Alligator mississippiensis: one gene and its partner. The protein of the gene in region 1 interacts with the protein of each later gene in a pairwise test. Links are inferred from orthologs where the notes say so. Each region holds a gene or a part of one and is shown in the gene's direction. Other genes may lie near its edges.

Evidence for each region. The genes of interacting proteins can lie anywhere in the genome.
Region 2: the proteins of BACH2 (region 1) and MAFG interact in binary tests that used the Homo sapiens proteins (3 or more experiments, as listed by UniProt). The link is inferred for Alligator mississippiensis from reciprocal best matches to the Homo sapiens genes BACH2 and MAFG.

What each region holds. Positions count from the first base shown.
Region 1 is NC_081824.1:77,765,285-77,772,616, reverse strand, and holds the start of BACH2 (transcription regulator protein BACH2), read left to right. Parts: upstream 1-4,264; 5' UTR 4,265-4,843; intron 4,844-7,332. UniProt on the Homo sapiens protein: Transcriptional regulator that acts as a repressor or activator. Binds to Maf recognition elements (MARE). Plays an important role in coordinating transcription activation and repression by MAFK.
Region 2 is NC_081831.1:453,849-461,520, forward strand, and holds the start of MAFG (transcription factor MafG), read left to right. Parts: upstream 1-4,595; 5' UTR 4,596-4,822; intron 4,823-5,939; exon of another isoform or gene 5,940-6,106; intron 6,107-6,264; 5' UTR 6,265-6,290; coding exon 6,291-6,326; intron 6,327-6,417; coding exon 6,418-6,870; 3' UTR 6,871-7,672. Other genes in the region: PYCR1 (pyrroline-5-carboxylate reductase 1, mitochondrial), read left to right, coding at 406-472, 556-626, 860-1,039, 1,856-2,077, 2,662-2,754, 3,110-3,273, 3,370-3,529. UniProt on the Homo sapiens protein: Since they lack a putative transactivation domain, the small Mafs behave as transcriptional repressors when they dimerize among themselves.

The sequences.
Region 1 (7,332 bases):
CAAACTCTGCAAGGTTTACTATGGAACATGCATGTGAAACTGATGATATAAGAAACATAATGCTTGCTTTCAGAAGCTCTCTGAAAGTGTGCGACTAATACAATGGTATTATTTTTGACACTCAGTTCTATCAAAATTAATTCGTTTTGCATCCCTTTGGAAGGCAAAGCAATGGAGGCAAACATTTTAAGCCCTTAGTCCTGTAAACCAATGCTGCTCATCCTTTTGGTGCCAAAGGCTGGACAAATGGCCTGGGGCCAGTCTGCAGGCCACATCATGACCCATGTGCCAGGATCAGACTCCACTCCGCCTCCCTCAGCTCGATTGGGGCCCAGGCCACATCTCCACACTGATCTAGCATGCTCTCCAGCATGCAGGGCTCCCCTGGACCCAGAAACTTGGCAGCAGAAAAGAAACGCTTGTTGCTGCTGCTCCCTTGCCATCAAATTTTGAGACTGAGACCCATTGGGGCCCCTGAGGGCTGGATAGTATAGTTCTGTAGCCTGGATCTGGCCTGTGGACTGAGGCTTGAGCTCAGCTGTAAACAACTGAATACCTGAGTAGACTCATGGCATTGAATTAGACTTGTAATATGATTAAAACAAGGTGTGTGTACACATACATGTTTTCATGACCAGGGCCAAAAAACCCAGCTATGAGCAGTATTTTACCTGAATAATAGACAGAAAATCATAAATTTGGGGGCAGATTACATTCATTTTCTGCAGCTGCATATCTTCACAAAGTTGACAATACTGGATAATCAATACCAGAAAAATCACACTATGTACTCTACCCTGAGTAAAATGTTGACATTGTATGTTTGTGTGAAGTGCCATTAATTACGCTTGAAAATACAGCCCATCAGATGCAGCAACTCTAATCTCAGAAGGGGGCATCAGAAGTTCCTCTCCACATACAGCTGTTGGATGAGATGGAAAATAACATTCTGTAAAATCACAGTAACATAAGAGAATGTTTCATAGTTTCATAGTTGGCAGGGTCGGAAGGGACCTAAGCAGATCATCAAGTCTGACCTCCTGCCTTGGGCAGGAAAGGATGCTGGGTTTAAATGACCCTGGCTACGTGGCTGTCTAGCCTCCTTTTGAAGACCCCCAGGGTAGGGGTGAGCACCACTTCCCTTGGAAGTTGGTTCCAGATCCTAGCCGCCCTGACTGTGAAGTAGTGCCTTCTGATATCTAGCCTGAATCTACTCTCAGTCAACTTATGGTTGTTGTTCCTTGTTACCCCTGGTAGTACTCGGGGGAACAGGGACTCTCCCATTGCCTGCTGGTCCCCTTTGGCAAGTTTATAGGTGGCCACCAGATCCCCTCTCAACCTTCTTTTGTGGAGGCTGAACAGGTTCAGGTCCCGTAGCCTCTCCTCATAGGGCCTCCCCTGCTGCCCCCTGATCATCCGAGTGGCCCTCCTCTGGACCCTCTCGATGCTGTCCACATCCCTCCTGAAGTGCAGCGCCCAGAACTAGATGCAGTACTCCAACTGCGGCCTGACCAGTGTCACATAGAGGGAGAGGATCACCTCCTGGGACTTGTTCGTGATGCATCTGTGGATGCATGACAAGGTGCGGTTAGCCTTCCTGACCACGTTCCCACACTGGCAGCCCATGTTCATCTTGGAATCAATAGTGACTCCAAGATCCTTTTCTGCCTCTGTGCTGACAAGAAGGGAGTTCCCCAGCCTGTAGGTATGCTGCTGGTTCTTCATCCCCAGGTACAGTACCTTGCACTTGTCCGTGTTGAAACCCATCCTATTATCATCCACCCACCTCTGTAACCTGTCCAGATCTAGTTGTAGCCTATAGAATGAAAATAAACAATCTGACATAAGACCCCCAAAGCATTCACAAATACAGAAATGTTAAGTACTAATTGTAGCTTTGTCTGCAACAAGCCAACATTTATTGTATATTCTCTTGGGAATATTTTCTTTTACATTTTAGTAAAATGTAAAAATCCCAGTTCGCTAAATCCCTCAAGTGCTAATACCTCATTCAGAGCTCCTGGTGTGAATCATTTGCTTGCTTACTTTCATCTTTAACAGGATCCCTTTAATCTAAAATGTTCTTCTCACCTGAATGTGGTTACATATGGTGGAGCACCTTATTGGCTAACCCATTAAGAGGAACAGCATTTCTACAGCCTACTTCCTGAGATGCTTTCATATAAAGGCTTCTGCCTCTGAATGAGCTAATTTAGATGGTGCCATATGCCCTGCCTTCTATCTAACTTTAGACTACCATGGCAAATTACCTTTCTCACGGTTACATACATTAGGCGTACTAAATTCTGTTTACTCCTGTTCTAATGTTAGTATTTATAAACTCAGGATTTCATCCCAAATCTCATGGTATATGGCATTTTTTTTAAAGCCCCTGCTGCTTGACTCAAAGTGACTGCACAAGAATCTCAGCCTTCACTTTTTTTGAGGTTGATGGCGGGGAGGGGAGACTGGAAAATATTTGCTTGCACATCTTCAAACCCAGAATACAGGGCAAAAGAACCCAATCTCTCATGTTATTTTCAGGCTCTTTGGGCTCTTTTTTTAGCCATTCTTCTGATCTGATGGGAGGTGACCTCTTCTTCCTATTCTTCTGATCTGGTGGGAGGCCACCCATCCTAGTGGGATATATGGGTCTGGAAATGTGATCTGGGCAGGAGATTTTCAGGGACCTGGTCAGGTCAGGGTGTTTTCTGTGTCCTTTCATCGCATCTGATGAAGTAAGCTTCAGCTCATGAAAGCTTGTGGTACAGATAAATCAATAGATGGATAGATGGATCTACTTTGATTAGTCTACAAGGTGCATATTGTCATGACCCAAAGGTCTGATTTTGTGTGTGCTTCAGCACTAGAATTATCCCCGTAGGTTTACAGCTTCATTGCACAGTGAGTTTTGCTGTACAGAGAACCTGCGTGCAAAGGAGAGAGTTCCCGCCACTTTGCAGCTGTCTTTGCAGGGTGCATTTTCTTTGCAACACAGAAATGCACGGTGCAAAGAGTTCCCGCTCTTCGCATGCAAATTTGTGTCCCGCTATTGGCTAGTTCTAAATTATTCCCACATGGCGGCTAGCGATTGGCCTGCTAGCCATATAAGAGGCTTGAGCAGTTTCCGCCCAAGCCGAAGAGGACTCCACATCCATCTCGTGGGGACTCTGGGCACACGGCAGGGTCATCGAAGCCCTGAGTGTTACTCAGAGGAGTTTGGAGGCCTGATCCACCGCCCACCTCTTCCCGTTTTTGAGCGGTAACTTTCTATAAGACGTATCGACGAGTTTTCTATTTTGAGGCGCGCTTGTCCTGGACATCCGGAGTTCTGTCTACGTGGAGCCTAGCAAACTCCATGTGATAGTTCGTGTTTTCTGTTTGTAACCGCAACTCAAACAAGTTTTTCAGCCTGCACCGCGACCATCTCGGTGTAAGTAAACAATCTTAAAATCAACCGTTACGTGTCTGTGCCTAATTCTAGCTCGGCGCCCGCCCTCTCCGACCCGGCGTGCCCGGGCTGCCGGCCACAGCCCGCGTGCAGCGCGACAAAGGGCCCGGGTTCACACCCAGCCGGCACACAATTCTCCCCTGCCTTCTATAGACCAGGTAGCCTGGAATCAACATGGGGAACCGCCCTCCGGTCGTGTTGATGCAGGGGTGACTAGATTCGGAGCCCGGCCTGGCAAAGCACCATGGCAGCTTTGTCATGCTGTGGCCCTAGGTCACTATCCTCGGTTCTCTAGACCATTTTGGCTTGAGCCTCTGCTCCATGCCCTGATGGGCCCAGCTCCATGAATCCTAGCAGAGTGGGTAGGTGGATGGTGGGGGAGTGGGGTAGGAGAGTGAGGTGGGGGGAGGGTGTGGGAAGGGGCTGTGTGTGTGTCTGTGGCAGGGGAGTGGGGCAGTGTGTGGGTGTGTGTGGTTGGGGCATGGAGTGGGAAGGGTGCGCGTGTGTGTGGTGGGGGAGTGGGTCAGGTGTGTGTGTGGTGAGGGAGTGGGTGTGTGTGTGTGGCAGTGGAGTGGGCCAAGGGGGGTGTGTGTGTGTAAGGGAGCACAGGCCAACCACAACTTGCCCTTGTCCTTCTTGGACAACCAGTGAGCTCATCTCACCGCCCCGCCCCTCCCCTCCTCAGGGTCAGCGGGAACTACAACTCCCAGCGTCCCGTTCGGCCGCGCGCGAGACGCCGCGCGGACCCGGCGCGATTCTCTCTCCGACAACCCGGGGCGGGGGGGAGGATGCGCATGCGCCGAGGGTCCCGAAGCGGCGCTACGCGTGTTGCCGTGCGTAGAGCTGCTGTCCGCTGAGGCGGCGGAGTGCTACGTGGTTTGCGTAACGCACTTGTGAATGGGGAAGGCGGGGGGCAGGGGGATGATGTCAGCCTTCGAATGTCAACAATGTAGCGATTGAGGGAGGAGGCGCCGCAGCAGGAGCGGAGCGCGGGGAGCGGGTGGCCGCACACCGGGGCCGCCGCCGCACGCGCACCGCCGCCGCCGGGCTGCCCGGGACTCCAGCCGCCGCTGCCGCCGCCTCGCGCCGCGCCCGCCCCGGCTGCAGCAGCAGCAGCTCCTCCGCGGTGCCGTCGCGCCTCCCAGCTGCTGCAGCCGCCTCCGCTCCTCCTGCCCCCGCCCGCCTCTTCCCAGCCGCCCCCTCCCTTTCTTCCCCGCGGCAGGACGGGGAGCAGCGCTCGGCAGCCCGCGCCATGTGATGCGCGTCTCTCCGGGGGCAGCTCGCGGTGCGCGCCTTTGAAGCACCCCCCTCCGCCGCCGGGAAACAGCCCGGTCCTCCCTGCCCGGCCGCCCCCACCTCAGGGGGAGCGACCCAAAGTTGCATTCAGCCAAGGTGAGTGCTTTTCTCCCCGCCCTCCCTCCCCCTCCGCGCCCCCACTGCTCCTGGGAGGGGATGGATGGGGATGAAGTTTGCAGGGGTAGGGGGCTGCAGCTGGGACGGGCTGCATCGGTTTGGTGTCTCCTGAAAGAAGAGGAAAGCTTGGGGGGTCCCTTCACCTGCCCGGCGGGGGGGGGCCTACCTGCCCCCCTTTAACCCCTTCCCTGGGCAGGAGGCTGCTCAGCCCCATCTGCCAAGTGGGGAGTGCGCGCAGGTTGCGTCACTGAGAGTGGGCAAGAGGCACCCAAGTCTCTGTGTGTGCCTCCAGCTGTGTATGTCCCTCCAGCTGTGTGGGGCTGGGGAGAACATGATGGCTGGGTGTGAAGGAGGAGGGGGCGGGTGTTGCAGGGGGCGACTGCCTTTCATTGCATGAGGGGGGAGAGTGCTGCCCTTGGGGTGGGTGTGCAAGGAGGAGCAGGGGGCGGGGGGCTGGATTTGTGGGCCCTGAGTAAAGGCGCCGTCAGATTTGGAAGGATCCTAAAGACCCCCTTGGGTCGTGTGTCATGTCCCCCGTCTCCCCCCCCCCTCATCTGCTGGGTGCTTTTCACTCTTTTGTGCCCCAGATCCGAGCAGCAGGGCAGGGAGAAAGGGGGGGTGGGTCCCATCCCCATGAGTGTGAGCAGGGCTGAATTTGGGGCTTAGGTTCCCTCCAGAGCAACCCCTCCCCCCAGCACACCTGCAGGGAATGCTCCCACCTGAGCTCTTTCTGTCTAGGGGTTTCTGTTATGGATCAGGAGCCACCCTGTTGCTTAGTGCCCTGGTGTCCCCCTTCCCCCAACCCCCACACACACTCTTCCTTGGTGCAGGCAGTGTGCAGTGAAGTGTTGGGGGTCACTTCCAAAGCTGCTGCCTGGGGGGACTGAGTCACTGCTGCTGCTTTCCTGCTTCTGTGGTTTGTCTAAGATTGCATTGGGGTGTTTGGAGGGGGCTGTCCCCCACATGCACCTGGGGCTCCAACTCTGCTGTAACTTGACCACAAGTTGTTGCCACAAACAACCATAGATGTATTTTTTATTTGACGCACTCAACACAGTTGGCAACTGACTCTACTCCCTTGGAGGTGCCTTTGTGGCAAGCAAGAACCTGCTTTAAATAGCCAAGCATCTGCTCCAAACTTCTTCATGGTTGTGTATCAGGCAGCACCTTTTCTTAAGAGCAGTGTCTCTATATCAATTTAATCAGTTCAGTGTACTAAACCAAAAAAAAATTAATTACTCCCCATAAAATCTTTCCTGTCTGTTGGGAACCTGACAAGAGATGAAACTTAATGAAATACTTTTCTCTCTTTTTTTTTCTGGTTTGGAGTAAAACTGGAGAGAGATGTTAACTCTGATAATTTTCTTGGATCACTAAAACATAGCATGTAGGTAAGGCAGTTAGCTGCAGAGGCTCTGGCTGTCATGAAAGTAGCTAAGTGTGAAATCATGCCTCGCCTTTTGTGGAACAGGCTATTTTTATAATACAGCGGGTGTCTTCCTTAAAAATGCTTTGGTTATTGTGAGATCACCGTGCTCTTATTACTGAAGCCCTGCCAGCTCTGGAGTAAACGACGTTTTTCATTCTTGAAGATAATCATAAATGTGAGGCAGAAATGACACCTTATTAGAATTAGTCTTTAGTCTGTTGGGAAGATTGCTAAATTATAGTGTTGCTGTTTTCTCTGCCATGGTTGAAGACTTGTCAGTGTTTTCATGACAAAAAAAATTTTTTTAGGTCTTTGGAATTGTCATAAATGTGTGCATTTTAATTCAGTATTCAAAGGCTTGAACTGGGAGTGGAATTTTTCTTTGCAGGTGGATTTGTATGAGATTTTGTTTTGGCTGCATGCAGTGGTGTATTGTTTGGAGGTGGTGCTTTGTATAATGTGACGGGGGTTTTTTGTATATGAGGAAATTGGCGTTTTGGTAAGAAACAAGGAGTAGTTGCTTTTAATACTATGGATAGAATAAAATTGCCAAGGAAACATGTTAAACCATTGACTCCTGGGCTAGTATTAGTAGTGCTTCTTTAACATTTTAGAAGATACGTCATCCCATAAATCAAAACTGTACATATTTTTAAGATGCATGCACATTCTTTTGAAAATCTGAATTAGCTTTGCATCCTCTTGCACGGGGTTCATCAATAGTATGTCATTGCCCGTATAGCAGGTGGACTGCCATAGTTGAGCATGAAAATGACACTAAAAGCATGTATCCTATATACTATGGTGAAATACTATCTAACTCCAAAAGCTAATTTGATGGTGTTGAATGCCATCTGCACAAAATGGAAGGAAACCCTGTCTTGTCACAGTAGGGGATTGGGAATTAGGATTACAAATTTCTGTCTCTAGATCAGTGGTTCTCAACCTTGTAAGACTCAAGGCACTACTTGGAAAATGTCAGCTCTTAGCTTTCCTTCAGTTTTTGGCTATGGAAAAATAATAGAGCCATTCTTCTGTT
Region 2 (7,672 bases), on another chromosome or scaffold:
CCGGCCTCCGCCTGCGGCCTGGGCCAGGCCCCGCGGAAGATTCCAGAACCTGGCGCCGCCATTACGTCGGGCGCCCCGCGGGACTACAACTCCCAGCAGGCAGCGCGCCGCCGGCGTCCGCCCGCCCGCTCGCCGCGCCGCCTGCTGGGAAGTAGAGTCCGGGGGGCCCGGCCGGCTCGCGTAGGCACGGCATGATGCAATCGCCAACAAGAGTTGCCCCAATAGCGAGCGAGGCCCGGGAGGCAGGCCCCGCCCCCTGGCCCTAAGTGGCTGCGCTGGCGGCGCGGCCCCGCCTCCCCGGGCCCGGGATTGGCCGCGCTCAGCGCGCTGTGGCCGCCACGCGTCGCGGACGCGGTCCCCCAGCGCAGCGGCCACGTGGGCGCAGGTGGGCTCGGCAGCGCAACCATGAGCGTCGGCTTCATCGGCGCGGGGCAGCTCGCCTTCGCCCTGGCGCGGGGCTTCACCGCCGCAGGTGGGTGCGGGGCGCGGCGGGGGCAGGGTTGGGGATGCGGGGCGGGGCGGGGCTGGGCTGAGCGCGCTCCGTGCCGTCCGCAGGGGTCCTGGCCGCGCACAAGATCACGGCGAGCTCCCCGGACACGGACCTGCCCACGATCTCCGGCCTCAGGGTAAGTCCCGGGCCGCTTGCAGCCCGCCCTCGCCAGTGGCTCGCATCGCTGCCGCAGCCGCGCAGGCACGGCCGGAGCTAGCGGAGCCGAGTGGCTCGTGTCCCCGGGGCGAAGTGCGGCGCGCGGGGTCAGCGCTCGCTCGGACGCTGCGGGCCAGGGGCCGGGGGTCACTTGCCCCACCCACGCAGCGAGTAAAGCAAACGCAGGTGCTGTTTCCTTTCCAAATATTCCAGAAAATGGGGGTGAACTTCACGCCGAGTAACAAGGAGACGGTTAGGAGCAGCGACGTTCTCTTCCTGGCAGTGAAACCCCCCATCATCCCCTTCATCCTGGACGAGATCGGCCCGGACATAGAGCACCGCCACATCGTGGTCTCCTGCGCGGCCGGAGTCACGATCAGCTCCATCGAGAAGGTGGGTGCGGCGTGCTCCCAGCTCCGCCACGCGGCAGGAGGGGTAGGGAGAGCCTGTCCCCTGACCCGTGCTTACCGCTGCCTCGCACTGCTCCAGCTTGGGGCGCCACAGCCTTGGAACGCTTTTCCTGGAGGGCTCGAACTGTGGGGGCGCTGGCCTTGGGCCGGGCTTGCCCTCCAGGTGCTGGGACCCATTTCCGTTACCAGCATTAGCAGCAGCCGCGCGTCCCTGTTAGTCCAAGCCTCGGCTGCAGCCAACTTCTACAGGACAAAGCGTGTTCAGAGCCAGACTTGCACCTCCTGGATGGGCTAAAGCTGTCCCTGCTGCGGGCTCTGGTCCTGTGGTCCATGCGGGACCACCTGGAAGCTTAGACTAGCCCGAGATCAGAGCCCTCCAGCATCATGTCGGGTGCGCCCCTATGCCAGCGGGTGGTCAGACCCTCTGGTCTCCTGGAGTCTTGTGCTGCCTCTGGGAAGCAGCCTAGGTGTGAGGGTCACGGGAACTGCCTCCCGGGGGATTGGGGGCACTGCAGAATGCTGCCGGGATTGCGGATCAGGCAGGCTCTGCCCAGCTGCCTCCCCGGGGACGCTGCCAGAGGGGCACGTCCTCTGCAGCAAGGGTTCCCTGACAGCCCTCCTGCAGGGGTTTGCACGCATGGCAGTTGGGGGAGGTGGGTGGGGAATTCCCTTCCACTGCCCCCTTGGACTCCCTCTGCCCCCCGGGAGTTTCTGGGGGAAACTTCACATGCAGAGTGTATGTTCAATCTGTCCATGTCTCTCTCTCCTCCCCTCTGTGTCCAACCCTTCCCACCCCAAGAAACTCTCTACCTTCTGTCCCACCCCAAAAGTGATCAGGTGCATGACCAATACCCCTGTGATCGTGCGGGAGGGCGCCACAGTCTATGCCACTGGGACCCATGCTGAGGTGGAGGACGGGAAGCTCTTGGAACAGTTGATGGCCAGCGTGGGCTTCTGCACGGAGGTGGAAGAGGACCTGATCGATGCTGTCACGGGGCTCAGCGGCAGTGGCCCTGCTTACGTAGGTGCCACTCCTGTGGTTTGTAGAAGTCAAGAGGGGAGTAACGAATGTTCGATGCAGGGAACATGCCTACAGCAATAAGAAAGTGTCCAACAAGGCTGCAAAGCTGACGGAGCAAAGGCCTGAATTTCTGACTGTCCACCCTTGTGACGGGGTTCCGGTTCAGGAAGAGGCTGAGGTCTCTTCCCAGTTCCTGGTGCAGGAGCGTCTGCATCGCCAAAGTGGCTCAAGATCATTGACAAGCAGCCCAGTTAACCTCGTGGTCGGGTCTCGTGCTGAGACTGGAGTGGCCACGGGGCTCAACTCCTCTGCCCCCGGATAGAAGCATCCTTGTGGCAGGGAAGCGTGGCTTGGTGCCCACCTCATGGGGGAGGAGGAAGCTCCCAGAGCTGTCTATTCTGGGGGCATCATCTGCTTGAGGGGCACTGAGCAGGGAGCAGGTTCCCAAGTCCCCATAGGTGTTAGGGAGTCCAGAGTGGCCCTGGGACTTGGGCTCCATCCCTTCTCCTGGGGGTGACGGAGCCTTTGGGGGACCGGCCATTCTTCCAACCTGAAGTTCGTCTTCCTGCTGTTCCCGGTCCCAGGCATTCACAGCTCTGGACGCTCTGGCAGATGGAGGCGTGAAGATGGGACTTCCCCGCCGGCTGGCTGTCCGGCTCGGAGCCCAGGCCCTGCTGGTCAGTAGCTGCCCCTCGAAATTGCTCAGTTCATGCTCGCCTGCACCGAGCAAAGCCGGGGTTGACTGAACTCACACCCAGCACGTCTCACTGCAGGAGGCTGCCTGGTCAGAGTTGGCTTGGGGACACCTGGTGTGTGGAGGGTCCCTGAGGTTCCTGCTGGGGCTGTTGGCTCTGTGGCAGGTTGGGTGAGCAGGGGAGGTTTACCTCTGAACTGGGTTTGTGATGGCCTGGCCAGTGCCCATGAGGAGAGGGCCCAGGCTGGCTCAGAGCAGCTGTCCAGGCATTGCTCGTGCAGGGTGGGCAGCAGGTCCCTCAGTCGGATGCTGACTGTGTTTCCCCTCTGACCCCAAAGGGCGCAGCCAAAATGCTGCTGGAGTCGGAGCAGCACCCTGGGCAGCTGAAGGACAACGTGTGCTCGCCGGGGGGGGCCACCATCCATGCTCTGCACTTCCTGGAAAGCGGGGGCTTCCGCTCGCTCCTCATCAACGCTGTGGAGGCCTCCTGCATCCGGACACGGTGAGCATGGGTGCCCCCAGCCTGGGCCCTGCTCAGCGCTGCCATTCCTCACTCCTTTCCTCCCATGAGTGACGTGATGGGTGCTGTCTCCCGCAGGGAGCTGCAGTACCTGGCAGATCAGGAGAAGATCTCCCCAGCAGCCATCAAGAAGACCCTGCTGGATAAGGTGAAGCTGGAGTCTCCGTCCGTCTCCACGGCCTCTGCCAGCAAAGTCAGCCTGTTCAGCAACAGGCACCCCGGCAGCAAGAAGAACTGAGGGGCCCCGGCTGCTGCTGCCCCTCCTGCAGGCGCTCCCTTCTCTCTTTCAGGAAAAGCTCTAGCTCTAAGCGCTTGTGGCTCCTCAGCTGGGAGCGGGGCTGAGGGCATCGGCAGTGGCACTTCCTCTCCTACGGTCAGGGACCAGACCTTGCCCAGCCTTGTGTCCTCTGGGCAGCAGCACCCCCCCCAGCCCTGCTGCTGGAGCCCCTGGGCTGCGTGGCTGGGCGGTTGCAGAGTGGCCTCTGGTCCCCCTTCCCTGGCCCAGCTCTGCACCTGTGTCTTCTGCCTTTTCTCTGGGCACTGGCTCTTGTCTAGGTCCCTGCAGCTTCGTGGGTGGAGGAAGCGCTGTGAGGGCGTGAGGAGGAACACGAGCTGTGGGGACAGGCGCCAGGCCTCTGCTCACTTTGCTTCATGGTTTTATAAGGCCCAAAGGAAGCAAGGGACCATGGAAAACAGGGGGTGGAAGGGGCCTCAGGTGCCCCTAGCCCAGGCTGCTCCCTCCACCCCGCTGCCAGCGGCTCCTGGTTGCTTGTGCCGGGGGCATGGAGCCGGGCAGGCACCGCCGGTCACTGCTGCGTGCCGGCTGCTGGAGCGGGTGCGGGGCCACGCCAGCCCCACGGGCTGCAGCAGCTGAGCAGCTTGCATGCCGTGGCGGGCTGCGTGGCCAGGTCTGGGGGGGCGAGGGCCAAGAGCTGCCCCCCACCCGCTGCCTGGGGAAGGAGGAGCAGGGCTGGGGCCACCCCCTTGGCCTGTGGCAGGGTAGGCTTTCCCGCCACGTCGCACCGTCCGGCCGCGCTCGTGGGCGCCATCATGAGCGTTGTCGGGGGGGGGGCCTGCTCCGCGCACCCCCGCGGTTCGGGCGGGTCCTGGCACGGCCCCGAGGGGCGCCACGAGCTGCTGCCCCTTCGCCGCTCGGGGAGGAAGGGGCCGGGGCGGGGCGGGCGCGCGGGCTGCTGTCCTTCGTGCAATAAACAACCTCTTGCTTCTCGGCCCCAGGCTGCTGCGGTCTCGCCTCTCGCTGCCCCCGCGCCGGGGGGGGGGTGTCCCGCGTGGGAGGGGGAGGCAGTTCACGCGCCTCCCCTTTAAGGCGGTGGCCCCACGGTTTGTGCCCGCCGACGCGAGCGGCCTCCCCCTTAAGGCTCGGGGCGGTTGCGCCGGGGCTCATGAATGGAGCCACGTGACCCAAACATCACGTGACGCGTCCGTGAGCGGCGGCGGCGGCCCCGGAGTCCCGGCACCTCCCAGCGCCCCGGCCCGGCCCGGCCCGCGCCCCCCGCCCCCCCGCCGCACGGTGAGCGCCCCCGGCCCGCCACCCCGCCCCGCCCCGCCCCGCCGAGGCACGCGGGGCTGCGCTGCCCGCTCTCCGCCCCGAGCGCGGCCCGGGTGGGGCTTGCGCCTCCCCGCCGAGCTGGGTCCCGGGGGCGGCGGCCGGGGCCGGGGTGGGCGGTGGGCGCGGCCCGGGACACCGGCGAGGCACCTGCCCGCGCCCGTCCCCGTCCCCGCCGGGCCGAGTGTGCGGTGGTGGCTTCTCCGTCGCGCGCGGGGCCGCAGAGCCCCCGGCCGGCCCACCCGCCCCCCGCGGCTGCGGGCCGGTGCCTGCCCGCTCCTTCCCGCGCTGCCCTGCCTCCCAGCGGCGCGGGGCTGGAGGCGGCTGCGCGGCCCGGTCCCGGCGGGGCGCGGCCCTCGGGTCCCCGCTTGGCCCCACGGCTCTCAGCGGGCCTGTGGTGCGGTGCCGCGCTGCGCGGTGCCGCGCGCTGGACCTCGCGGGGTGCCCGGGGGGAGCGCCCCCGTCGGAGCCTGCTCCCGCAGGCGCTTCTGTCCCGGGCGGGTGGCCGGCGCCGGCGGGGCTGGCAGCACCGCGCCCTGGCGCTGCGCTGCGCTGCGCTGCGCGGGGCGGAGGGCTCCGGGGGAGTCGCTGGCCTGGCTGGGGCCCGGGGCCTGGCGCGTCGAGGGCTGGAGCCCGAGGGGACGAGGCTGCCCGGGGCAGAGCGCTGCTGGGGCCTGGGCGCTGTGGAAGCAGACCTGGATGCTGGCTCTGGGGGGGCCGTGCCAGGGGAGCGGCGAGGCAGGGCGCTGTGCAGCCTGGCCGGGGCCCGCGGTGGTCTGGGCTGCGCGGTCCGGCGCGTTGGGCGCGGGCGCTGCTCTGCAGGTCGCTCCCAGGGTGCGGGGAGCCCGTGCACCGCGGTCACGGCGGGGGGAGGGGGCGAAGCTGCAGGGCCGCCGGCCCCGTCTCCTGCAGCATCTAGAACTTGCTGTGACCTTTGACCCCGTCCTAAAAGGGTCCTGGGGGCGGGAGCCCTCTGGCAGAGGACACTGGCTGCGCCTGGCTGGCTTGTTGTGCTGGGGATTAGGAGGACGGAGGGGGTGGGAGCGGGAGGCGGGAGATTGCCAGCGTGCTGAGTCAGCGTGACTGGCTGCTCTGGACCCAGCCCGCGGCTGCTCGGCTATTTTTAAAGATGTGGCTTCCTCGTACGCTGACTCCTCCCAGCGCTCCCGGTCTCCCCCTTCCCGTCAGCATTTGCCTCCAGTCCTCACAGGAGGGTGACAGGAGGGAGATGAGCGGCAGCAGCTCCTCGTGAGTCTGGCTGCAGCGTGGGGTGGGGGCAGGTGCTTGGTGCTCCCTCGGCCGTGCCCTTGCCCTCTCCCCGGGCTCCGCCGGGTGCGGAGAGGGTCAGACGCCCCTGGGGCCTGGAGCGCGCGAGCGACCTCTGACCCCCTCTGCTCTCTCCTCAGATCCTGACTGACGAGGCTGTCGTGTTATGACGACCCCCAACAAAGGAAACAAGGCCTTGAAGGTAAAGAGGCTGGGGGCGGGGGTGGGGGCTGGGGCTGGGTCCAGGGGGCTGGGGGCAACAGGCTCAGCACCATTCGTGTCCCCTCTTCCAGGTGAAGCGGGAGCCAGGCGAGAATGGGACCAGCCTGACGGACGAGGAGCTGGTGACCATGTCTGTGCGGGAGCTGAACCAGCATCTGCGGGGCCTGTCCAAGGAGGAGATCATCCAGCTGAAGCAGCGCCGGCGCACACTCAAGAACCGCGGCTACGCGGCCAGCTGCCGTGTCAAGCGCGTCACGCAGAAGGAGGAACTGGAGAAACAGAAGGCAGAGCTGCAGCAGGAGGTGGAGAAGCTGGCCTCGGAGAACGCCAGCATGAAACTGGAACTTGACGCCCTGCGCTCCAAGTACGAGGCCCTGCAGAACTTCGCCCGGACCGTGGCGCGGAGCCCCGTGACCCCTGCCCGCGGGCCCCTGGCCTCTGGCATGGGGCCGCTCGTTCCGGGAAAAGTGGCCACCACCAGCGTCATCACGATAGTGAAATCCAAAACGGACGCCCGGTCGTAGTAAAGCGCGCGCTCCCGGCGCTGGTCTGTGCAGGGCCGTTAGGCACGCGGCCGGCCTGGACCCCCGAAGCACAACCCCCTTCCTAGCCGGGCCAGGGCTCCATCCACATGGCCCAGGACCAGCCCGCGGCTCACTCCGGTGTTGTGTGTTGTTTTGTTCAGATAGATGTGACCAGTGGTGATGTGTCCCCTGTGCTGTGCGAGCAGAGCCTCCTGCCCGGGCCGGCAGGGCAGAGATGGTGCTTGGCCTTGGCATCCTCGGCACAGACCGTCCGTGCAGCGAGGAGGAAGGTGTGATGGCGGAGGCCTGCGGCGCCACCCGTCTTGGGGAGGGGGGGCTCTGCCGCAGGGGGCTGGGAACACTGAAGTCAGTTGCTCCCGACAGCTTTATTCCATTGCGCTTCCCAGGGGTGCGTCACGGCACCCGTCTGCCATGTGCCCAAATCTGCTGCTTCTATCTCGTGTGGTGCCGGTGGCTGCAGTGGGGATTGGTCCGGGGGGCTGATTCTGTGCTCACCTCCTAGGTGCGTCCCCTCCTCACCCTGAAGGGGGTTGTCTTGGCTTCCACTGTGTCAGTCGCATGACCCCACGGCAGTGGACAGGGGTGCTGCAGCTCCCCGGTTCCTCTGCTGTAAAGCTGGGGAGGAATCCAGGACTGGGCATGTTTGGGGCTAGGGGAGGGGGGGCAGTACCCGGGGTGGGGGAAGGCTCCCCGGTGACTGAGGGCCGGTTTTGTGCCTAACGCATTGCACTGAACAAGACCAAACTCACTCGTTGTTCCTATGTGCGGAGGTATCAAGTGT